Linked DNA regions of Nothobranchius furzeri. The protein of the gene in region 1 interacts with the protein of each later gene in a pairwise test. Links are inferred from orthologs where the notes say so. Each region holds a gene or a part of one and is shown in the gene's direction. Other genes may lie near its edges.

Evidence for each region. The genes of interacting proteins can lie anywhere in the genome.
Region 2: the proteins of cops5 (region 1) and gfer interact in a two-hybrid assay, tested with the Homo sapiens proteins (2 studies listed by BioGRID). The link is inferred for Nothobranchius furzeri from reciprocal best matches to the Homo sapiens genes COPS5 and GFER.
Region 3: the proteins of cops5 (region 1) and map2k2a interact in a two-hybrid assay, tested with the Homo sapiens proteins (2 studies listed by BioGRID and IntAct). The link is inferred for Nothobranchius furzeri from reciprocal best matches to the Homo sapiens genes COPS5 and MAP2K2.

Annotation. Positions count from the first base shown.
Region 1 is NC_091747.1:51,739,081-51,741,977, reverse strand, and holds the end of cops5 (COP9 signalosome complex subunit 5), read left to right. Parts: intron 1-172; coding exon 173-238; intron 239-396; coding exon 397-482; intron 483-562; coding exon 563-674; intron 675-1,333; coding exon 1,334-1,482; intron 1,483-2,145; coding exon 2,146-2,236; 3' UTR 2,237-2,397; downstream 2,398-2,897. UniProt on the Homo sapiens protein: Probable protease subunit of the COP9 signalosome complex (CSN), a complex involved in various cellular and developmental processes.
Region 2 is NC_091752.1:63,794,437-63,797,461, reverse strand, and holds gfer (FAD-linked sulfhydryl oxidase ALR), read left to right. Parts: upstream 1-1,438; 5' UTR 1,439-1,581; coding exon 1,582-1,794; intron 1,795-1,985; coding exon 1,986-2,197; intron 2,198-2,286; coding exon 2,287-2,449; 3' UTR 2,450-2,525; downstream 2,526-3,025. Other genes in the region: drg2 (developmentally-regulated GTP-binding protein 2), read right to left, coding at 998-1,061.
Region 3 is NC_091748.1:51,292,709-51,296,747, reverse strand, and holds the start of map2k2a (dual specificity mitogen-activated protein kinase kinase 2a), read left to right. Parts: upstream 1-1,239; 5' UTR 1,240-1,464; coding exon 1,465-1,553; intron 1,554-1,778; coding exon 1,779-1,989; intron 1,990-2,809; coding exon 2,810-2,956; intron 2,957-3,764; coding exon 3,765-3,842; intron 3,843-4,039. UniProt on the Homo sapiens protein: Catalyzes the concomitant phosphorylation of a threonine and a tyrosine residue in a Thr-Glu-Tyr sequence located in MAP kinases. Activates the ERK1 and ERK2 MAP kinases.

The DNA of each region.
Region 1 (2,897 bases):
AAACATGGACACTTCATTTGGTGCAGCGGCTCTTGGCTGCCAGCGGCATCACATAATTAAGTGTGTGTGTTCTGTGCTGTGACAGCTCCGGTGGTCAGGTTTGAGTGGTCCCCGGAGGCTTTCGTGACCTCTGACCCTGTTTTCCTGCTCTACTGTATCTCTCTCTCCACAGATCGACCCAACCCGGACTATTTCCGCAGGGAAAGTCAACCTCGGTGCCTTTAGAACATACCCAAAGGTAGAGGAAAAGAGTCGGGCAAATTATGTGTTTAACGTTTTTGGGACACAAAACACGGGTGTGCTGTTACAATAAGTTTCAATTAATGCTAATCGTTTTAAATTTAAATCTGTTCACTTTGGTTTTTAATTTAAAAAGTCTTTTCTCTTCACTTTCAGGGTTACAAGCCTCCAGACGAGGGACCGTCAGAGTACCAGACAATTCCTCTGAACAAGATTGAAGATTTTGGCGTCCACTGTAAACAGTGAGGAGCTGTAGAATAAAATCATTGCATTAAGGTCACTTTAACTTTGTGAAACTCCTTATTATTTATTTCTTTTGTAGGTATTACGCCTTGGAGGTAACCTACTTTAAGTCATCCCTTGACAGAAAACTCCTGGAGCTCCTCTGGAACAAATACTGGGTTAATACCTTAAGTTCCTCCAGCCTCCTGACGGTATGTAAACAAGCTCAAAAATCAAAATGTGCACTAATTGTTTGGCATTTTGATTTATGGTTAATTATTACACTATAACTCATTCAGACATGCGCTCAGCAGCTTGAGATGTTGTGATTTATTGCTGCAGAATAGCTAAGCCTCCTTGTTTATTAGTGTTAGTAATAAGCTTAATGTGGACTTTTGTAACGAAGATGAGTAGGAAAGTTAGGCGCTCTCCCGAGACTGATGTGAATTTGCATGGTGGCTCTGTCCTGAACGGGAATAAATATGTCAGGCTTGAACAAACGGTGAGTTTTGGGGGATTCTGGGTGAGGATGAATTGACTAGATGTCAGGAACGAGCTGCTCCACGGGCGACAGGCTTTGTCAGGAGCTATAGTCACCCTGCAAGGTCCCCGTGTCACTATTAAACGCAGCCTCACCTTAAGTCAACATTTCAGTCATTCACCACCAAAGTGTCCCAGCAGCCTGTCGGACAGATTTGTTAGCCTCCTGCAAAAAAAAAAAAAATCCTATGTAGAAAAATCTTTTGCTGGCAAATTGTGCATGAATTGGTTTCTGTGTGTGTGTGTGTGTGTGTGTGTGTGTGTGTGTGTGTGTGTGTGTGTGTGTGCGCATGTGTGCGTGCGTGCGCGCGCGTGTGTGTGTGATGATCAGAACTCGGACTACACCACAGGCCAGGTGTTTGACCTGTCGGAGAAGCTGGAGCAGTCCGAGGCCCAGCTTGGCAGAGGCAGCTTCATGCTCGGCTTAGACACACACGACAGGAAGTCCGAGGACAAACTGGCCAAAGCGACACGAGACAGGTAGCTGGATAGGGCTAGACAGTTCAAATCAAATGTTAACTAGTTTATTTTGTCATCACATGGATCATTTACATGGGCTCTTCAAGGTTCGTGGTTCATAGGATCACATTGATTGATTTTATTATTTTAACTGTGACTTCTGGCATTAGTCCACTGAAGTCTTTTTCACAGAATGACATAAAATCTGTTATTTACTTTTGTAAACTTTCAGATTTTAATTAAAGCCCTTTTTAGGCTTATTAATATTATCTATTATTTATGAACCATTTAAGTCACAATTCTGATTAAATCAACAGTTCAATTTTTTCTAATTCTAGACAAAAATCAGTTTTTGAAGCAAATGGTTTTTTATTTATATTGGGCCATACTCAGATTAAAAATATGCATTTGACACTTAATTAAATTAAGCACATAATTCAGATTTTTCATTAGAACTGTATTATTGTCTAATGTACCTTTCTTTATTTTTGTGTCAAAAATTTGTTTCTTTGCTTTTTTCCACAGAATTAATTATCAACAAAATATCAGGAGAAAAATTCAGACTTTAAAATTCAAAACAAACTTTACTGAAGCTCTGTTTTGTCTTTATAATGTTTTCTAACACCAGCAGAGATGTTTTATCTCTGTGTCGCACTAATTTTTTGTTTTTCTGTTTCTTTTTAGCTGCAAGACGACCATAGAGGCGATTCACGGTCTGATGTCTCAAGTCATAAAGGATAAGCTCTTTAATCAGATCAACACTTCCTCCAATTAAAGCTCCACCCGGAGCCAATGTGTTAGTTTTACATGGGATGTCTTTACTGTGCATGCATCCACTGTTTAACTCTGCACCATTTCTCTTTGAAGTGATTTTTGTTTGTCCGAGAAGTGGCCAAGATCGCGACAATGCAAGCAAAAAATAAAATATTAAGTGCAGATTGTGTCAGTGATTCATAATTTTTATTTGTTCATATGTTTTTTTTTGTTGTTGCAGGCTCAGCTCACTATCCAAAATGAATTAGATGGATTTTATTATTGTTTCTTTATAAGATTTTGCCTTTGAACAGTTATTTTTCCTCACATTTCTCTGCAGCTGAACATTTAAATAACACACTGTGGTCACATTTATGTCCTAGCCCTGCTGCAGGCGATCATTGCTTGTCATAGCATTACATAGTGGAACAACAAACTCAACCTCCTGCACAGGCTCAGCGGGAATCTGCTGCCATGAGTGGGTTGTCGCTGGCGTCACTTTCCCGTGCAGCTCGGCGGGCGGCGTGCTGGCAGAGTGGTTGGGGAGGCAGGTTGCTGCGAGGCTGTGATGCAGCACAGAGACAGAAGCCTCAGACACAGAAGTCCATTCACCCAACGTGTCTGCTCTCCATCGAAGCAGACACTCACCGAGTCTGCCTTTTATTCTAACTGACAGCTGCTCT
Region 2 (3,025 bases), on another chromosome or scaffold:
AGTTTTATCAAATTTCATACCCAGGTAAGGCACATATGTTTATCCTATGTACTCTAATGCTTGAGAGCCAAGAGACATAAAGGAAGTCCAACAGTTTGATAAATGCAACTAGATTATAAATTCACATTTTACGTTTTTCATTCAATGTGAAATATTTTGCAAAACAGGACAGAATGGTTATTATAGCGCTAAGCTCACATTTTCTTTACTAAACCCCCAAAACAGCTTTCTGCTGGTGGCATAATAGTAAAAATAATAATAATAATAATCTGGTTTGCTGCTAAACGAAATAGCCAATCATAGTTCGTAGAGCCTTTCTAGCCAATCAGAGGCGAAAAAGGTGGGATCTTCCTTGGACATCCTAGGATTCCAAATGACGCATCCAGTGGTATTGCGAGGATTCGTTTTTCTGTCAGAGTGAAGGCAACAACAACTGCTGCCACCTAGCAGATGGAGTTTGAATTGCACCACACAAAAGAATTAGTGAAAGTTTGCATGAAAATTGTCAATAAAAGAACTGAAACACTGCTTTCAAATATCGATTCAGTATCATAACAAAACATCGCGATTTCTCTGGGTATCGGTGTTTTCTTACATCTCTACAGTGGACTATAGTAAACACTCAAAACCCATGAGATAAAATATTGTTTAAAAACACATTTGTGGCTTACGTTTTACGTTGACATAAAAATGAAAACAAACAACCCTTTAAAATAATTACAGTGTGTTTACACCTTAATAAAAAATTAAACTTAGCTTGATTACATGTCTGTAAATAAAGGCTACCCAACCAAGACAAAACTATTATTACTTTGCAGGAATAAAGTCAGATTAGCTCTGTCCTTATTTGGACATAATAATTTAACACCAACACCTGACACACACACACCGCCACTTATTTGCCATTGTGACCCCACAAACGTAGTAAAACAAGTCCAAAACACACCAACTTTGCCTGTTCTGTAGCTACCAGTTAGCTTCGCGGCTACACTGTTACCTTTATTCTTCTGTGTCCGAGAAATCTCTCTTTCGATTTCGGCGATTTTCTCCAGAATGCCCATGTTGGTGGTGCAGGTGAGATGCAGCTACTCTGTCGGGGAGACAAAATCCAACAGAAACGTGTCACCTCACTGCTGCTAGCTTTGTTAGCCGCCCGGCTAGCCTGCAAACAAGTCAAACTTAACGGTTAACAAACCGCATCAATAGTCGTCCACGAAAAGGCTTACATAATGAAATTTACGTCAGAATAAACCCTGAACATTGTCAATTATTTTATTCGTTAAATAGATAAAGAAATTTACTTTGACAGAAGGTTCAATCAGCCGCGCACGCAGACTGCAAACCGGAACACGGTTCGTCGCTATAAAACGTTCGGGTGAAACAAGGAAACGCAAGAATAACCAAACGGACCCTCTAACGAATTACACTGTGGAGTTATGACTAAATACACGTGATTTAGTTAACAGTATAACCCAGTTATGCTTCCAGTCGTAGCTAGTTTCATTCCAGTTTACAGACATTTTTAATATTTACTAATACTCGAGGTCAATTAGATAAATATTAACTCAGCAGGAGAGAAACATGGCTGCGCCTGCTGGTGCCGCTGAATCGTCAGGCGCCAGCCCGCCGGGGTTCGAAGGTTTCCCCTTCCCGGTGAGCAGCAGACCACAGGAGGACAGCTCCGGTAAAGGGCATGAACAATCCGGGGATGCAAGGAAGAAGCCATGTAGAGCCTGTACGGATTTTAAATCGTGGGTGAAGCTACAGAAACGGCAGGATGCTGATGCTGCTCAGGTGACATGACGTTTTAAGTTAATTAAAAAGGGTTTTAATCTGTTTGAAGGGCTTTAACGTGTTTCTCTGTCCCATATGTTTATTTGTTACCAATTTAGTGTTAGTAAACTGTTATTTATAGTGTAAATCTCACCCGATCCTATTATTTTATGACCTTTGTCTCTTTTGTGTGTTGAAATCTGAACCCACAGGAAACTCGTCCTGCAGAAAATGTGAGACCAGATCCCCAGTGTCCACTGGAGAGGGATGAGTTGGGCAGATGCACCTGGTCCTTTCTGCACACCATGGCCGCGTATTACCCAGACCGTCCGTCTTCCAGCCAGCAGCAGGACATGGGGCAGTTCATCAACCTGTTCTCCAGGTTCTTCCCTTGTGAAGAATGTGCAGAAGATCTCAGAGACCGGTCCGTCCATTTTACCCAGGTTTCAGATCCAATAAGTTACTCTTCTGTACAAATGCTGGAGGCCAACTATGTCCATGTGCTTCCCGCAGATTAAAAACCAAACAGCCGGACACGAGCAGCCGCTACGCTCTGTCTCAGTGGTTCTGCCATCTTCACAACGACATCAACGTCCGGCTGGGAAAACCCGAGTTTGATTGTTCACGTGTGGATGAGAGGTGGAGAGATGGATGGAAAGATGGAACCTGTGACTAAGTGTTTGTATTAAAAGTTATGTCACTAAGAGTTTATTTAATAAGTATGATCGCAAAATAAAAAGGAATTAAATGAATAATGTTTTGTCATTTTTTGGTTAAAATAGGGTCAGAGCTGGCCCAAGGCATACCTGAGTTAAGCAAATGTTTGGGATCCCCATGAGCATCAAGATAGTGGGAAAAATGTTTTAATAGCTTTAAGTTATATAAACACAATTATATCCCATGTGGAAAATGTATTATTTTCTATAATGTAATTTGGTTTTAGCTTTAAGTGATTTCGCATTTCATACATCTGCTCCAAATTTTAATGCCAAAATACTTGAATTGTTGAAGCTCACACTACTAAAAGTAAAGCAGAATTTTTTTTCTAGAAGTGTATTTTTTTATCGTCACAAAACCAAAACAGTGATTCCATCACTACCAAACAACTAGTGATACCACCTTAACTGGCATTTAACCACTTAATCAGTGTGCCATGTTGTTTCCTCACATCCTTAACTAGTTTTATTCTTTCTATGTGTTTTATATATAATTCAAACAAATATATTATTATGTAGTCGTACAATTATTGATA
Region 3 (4,039 bases), on another chromosome or scaffold:
CATTTTGATGCCTGTTGAGGATGAAACTGTAAAATTTGAAATGAACGTAATCTAACAGCTGTTATTGATGTGTTGAATTAAAACCGGTTCTTAAATATGCCTCTGGTCTTTAATTTTGGAATTTTTGTTCTTGAGTGACACGATTTAACGAGGGCAGATTCAGCCAATTATATCTCTGCCCTTTACAGGTGATCTCAATCAGATTAACAGTCAAAATAAATGTATTTTGTCAGCATTTGTAATTCCTGAACATTTCAAATTTTATACTTGGTGAGTAGTAGTGTAGTGGCATATTATGTTGATCTATCCAGACAGATATATAAAATTATGCACTATTGACAACTATCCAATTCCTCAGTCAGTTTTTAAGTCACTTCTCGGTCACATTGCAGTGTGATATTGAGATTTGATTCAACCAAATGCAGTTCAGTGCACAACAAGTGACTCAAAGAAATTACCCTAGCCAATTTAACGGGATTTTCTGTCACAGCAACGTGTCTTTTCTCTGTAATTTAAATGTATAGGATGCCAGTTTAGAAAAATGGTTGAACTGGAAAACTAGAATCATCAGAAGGAAAAAATGCCTACATGACCTACTATATTTTTGTTCGCTTCATTTGCGCAGGAATTGTGCCTGGTCGTCTTGATCGAGCCATAAAATGAAAAGTACAATTTGACTTCCCCTTGTGTCCAGTAGGGGGCAATAATGCACCTTTCCGCGTGGTTCGGAAACGACTGATGGAGAGTTTTATTTAAACAGTCATTGTTTCACGTAATTTAATTTAAAACTACACTAAAATCTTCTAACAATCTACAAATGTGCCCCAATTTACATCTTCACTTGTTCTCGCGTGAACTCGTCACTCTGTTTCTGTCTCGCGGTATTTAAGCAGAAGCAGCAGGGCTCTCCCCTGTGGGGTTTCTCACAGGCTGCTGCTTCCTGTAAGAAGGCACCAGCGGACAGCACCGCGGCTCTGGAGCGTTTCAGACCCTCTGCACACCTCTTAAAACACAAGGGGACAATTTAGACAAGTCCGCCGGCTCGGTCTATCCGAGCTGTTTGCCTTCTACGCACTTCGAGACGAGGACCGCTGCATATTTACGGCTGAGAGGCGCATATTTTCACTGGAGCTAGCAGTGGCTATGTGGCTAATGGCTAGTAGCAGCAGGTAGAAAACCCGACAAGGAGCTGAATACAGAACACCTGTCACTACACAATCCTATAGATGAACCGACAAAGCTATCCGACGTTTGAAGGGCACATCGGCATGCTGGGTTTTAGCAAACAAGCTAAGTGACATGCTCCAAAAAGTGTATAATCTCTGCTTACGGTAACTAGCCACTTAGAGCGGTTCCTGTTGCTTTTTCGAACGGACTCTCGAGCACGGGCGAGGTCGGATTAGCCCAGTTTACTCAAATCTAGTGTTTTACAGAGAGGGAGTTCTTAGTTTAGGGGATTTAGAAATGGCTCCTAAAAGAAGACCCGTGCCTCTCAACATTACGCCCATTGGGGAGGGACAGGCCACCTCTAACACCATTGATGCTGCATCAGAGTAAGTACCGACGGTAAACTGTCATTGTGTTTTGTTGGTGTGTTAATATACACGTTCTGTGTAAAAGTTTTTAAAGTAACACACAATCAGTGAACTGATTTCTGCTTGGTTGCCTAAAGCTGCTGTAGGACAGCTCCAGATGTCGGATAAGACCTGCACATCAGGATAAAAATAAAATTCCCTATTTTTTTTTATTCATCTTTAATGCTTGTCTTTTCTTATCAGAGCCAACCTGGAGGCTCTGCAGAAGAAGCTGGGTGAACTGGACCTCGATGAGCAGCAAAGAAAACGTCTAGAAGCTTTCCTCACCCAGAAAGCCCAGGTCGGGGAGCTGAAGGATGAAGATTTTGACCCGATTTGTGAGTTGGGTGCTGGAAACGGAGGAGTGGTCAACAAGGTTCGCCACAAACCCTCGGGTTTGGTCATGGCTCGAAAGGTGATCATCTGCCTTTGGGTGTTTCTCTGCAGCTGAAGTGGGACGATCGGAAGGAGATGAAGCCAGCGAGATTAGGCATGCCAGCGTTTTGCTTGTATGCTTTTGTGACATTTGCCTCTTAGCTTTGATGTGGTCGTTGTTTCGCTCCTTTTGGTGCTGCGTTTCTTTACCCGAGTAACATCGGAGTGCAGCCTTTCTTGGTTTTACAGTGCAGTTTTGAAACATCGCAACCCTCGTTTGCAGCTCTACACATGGTTGTGACCAGAGAATTCTAGTCCTTCACCAAAATTAAACTCCGTTTAACTCTGACATTAAATGTGAACATTTACATGGGAACCACTTATTTCATATAAATCCTCAGTGACACTTCTGTAAGAGGAGTGTTGGGAAAAATACAAAGGTCATGTGTGAGGGCATTTACTGGCAGTTCAAACACACAGATTTGTCATAACAGGTGGGTTTTTTGTTTTTGTATTTTTTTTAACCCTGTTTCTAGTTTATTGCAAGTCTTGACATTTTGCCTAACACAAAACCTAAACGGCCTTCCTAAACTAAAAAAAACTTCCAAACCTGCTGGAACAATCCAGTATATGTTTGCAGACCCTCTCAGAAATTCTGCAGCAACTCAAACTTGTCCATATGCGTGTGCAGACGTGTCCACTGATGTTTCCTCAAAGCGTTCAGAGATTGAATGATGTAACTTAAATGCATGTCTCTCATTGGTTGCTTTGAAGTGTGCATGCAGATTGTCCCACTTGTCATTTTGTCCCTGATCGATGCGTTTGTACGGAAATTGATGGTTTCACCATTTCCTTCTCAGTTAATCCACCTGGAGATCAAGCCTGCCATCAGAAACCAGATAATCCGAGAGCTGCAGGTGCTGCATGAATGCAACTCTCCCTACATCGTGGGCTTCTATGGAGCCTTTTACAGTGATGGAGAGATCAGCATCTGCATGGAGCACATGGTGAGAGAGACTGACTGTCTCTAAAGCTTTCTTCAGACATTAAGTATGAAACATTAATGGCTTCATTAACTTAATGGTGATTTTTAGATTTCCTTAGCGTCAAGAGTTTTTTTCATTGCTTCATACTATACCAGTGCAACAAATCCTGTTAATCTGCTAAGTGTAGCAAAGATTGCATCACTTTTCATCTTCTTTAAGCGTATTCTGTTTAAATTTCCTTCTGCATTTTAAATCAAATCAACAAACATGTTTTCCTTTTCTTCAGTATCTTATCAGTGCTGATTTTGAGATGATGCAACACTCACTACTGAGTTTTCACAACATATTTAGCAGTAAACATTCACATCAAGTTAACACTTCATGCTAAACTAACGGATAACAAACAGAAATGTTTTGCATTATTCATAAAAGTGGTCAAAGAGGTAAGAAGCTGCTCAGCTTTTGGCTCAATCGCTGTAAATTATAAAATGGTGTCGTGTCTAATCATCGTCTGGGGCTAATCATTAAGTGTAAAAGTTAAAGGTCTGTAATTTGGGCCGTGTTTTTGTTTACTTTTATTAATCATTTGTTAAATAGCCCACAGCTACTGTGCTTAACTGTTCTTTAGTGTGTGACTTCTGTTGTTCAGGTTTGGTTTGCTGAAAGGGATTTTGGACCAAACCAAATCTGACCCGTGTTTTCAGATCTGACACGGGCACATGCAGTCATGATGTGTTTAACAACAGGTGGCGCACACAGGAGCTGGGTTCTGTTGATGTGACTTGTTAATAAAGTTTAATCTTTATAAAGTAAACTTTTGTCTGTACAGGATGGTGGGTCTTTGGACCAGGTTCTCAAGGAAGCCAGAAGAATTCCTGAAGAAATACTTGGAAAAGTTAGCATAGCTGTGAGTTGACTTGTTTGTTCAGCTTTAATCTTTTCATCCATTGAATTTCGATAGCTGTTTTACTTTGGCGAGGTTTAGCTACACATTCTTGTGGTTTGTTGGTGTACAGTCTGCTTGTTGCTGCCTGCTCACTGTTCCTCGAGTCCTTTTCTAGTCTTGCTTGACTAGAGCTGTCCAGTCATGCTTTAGTAACACAC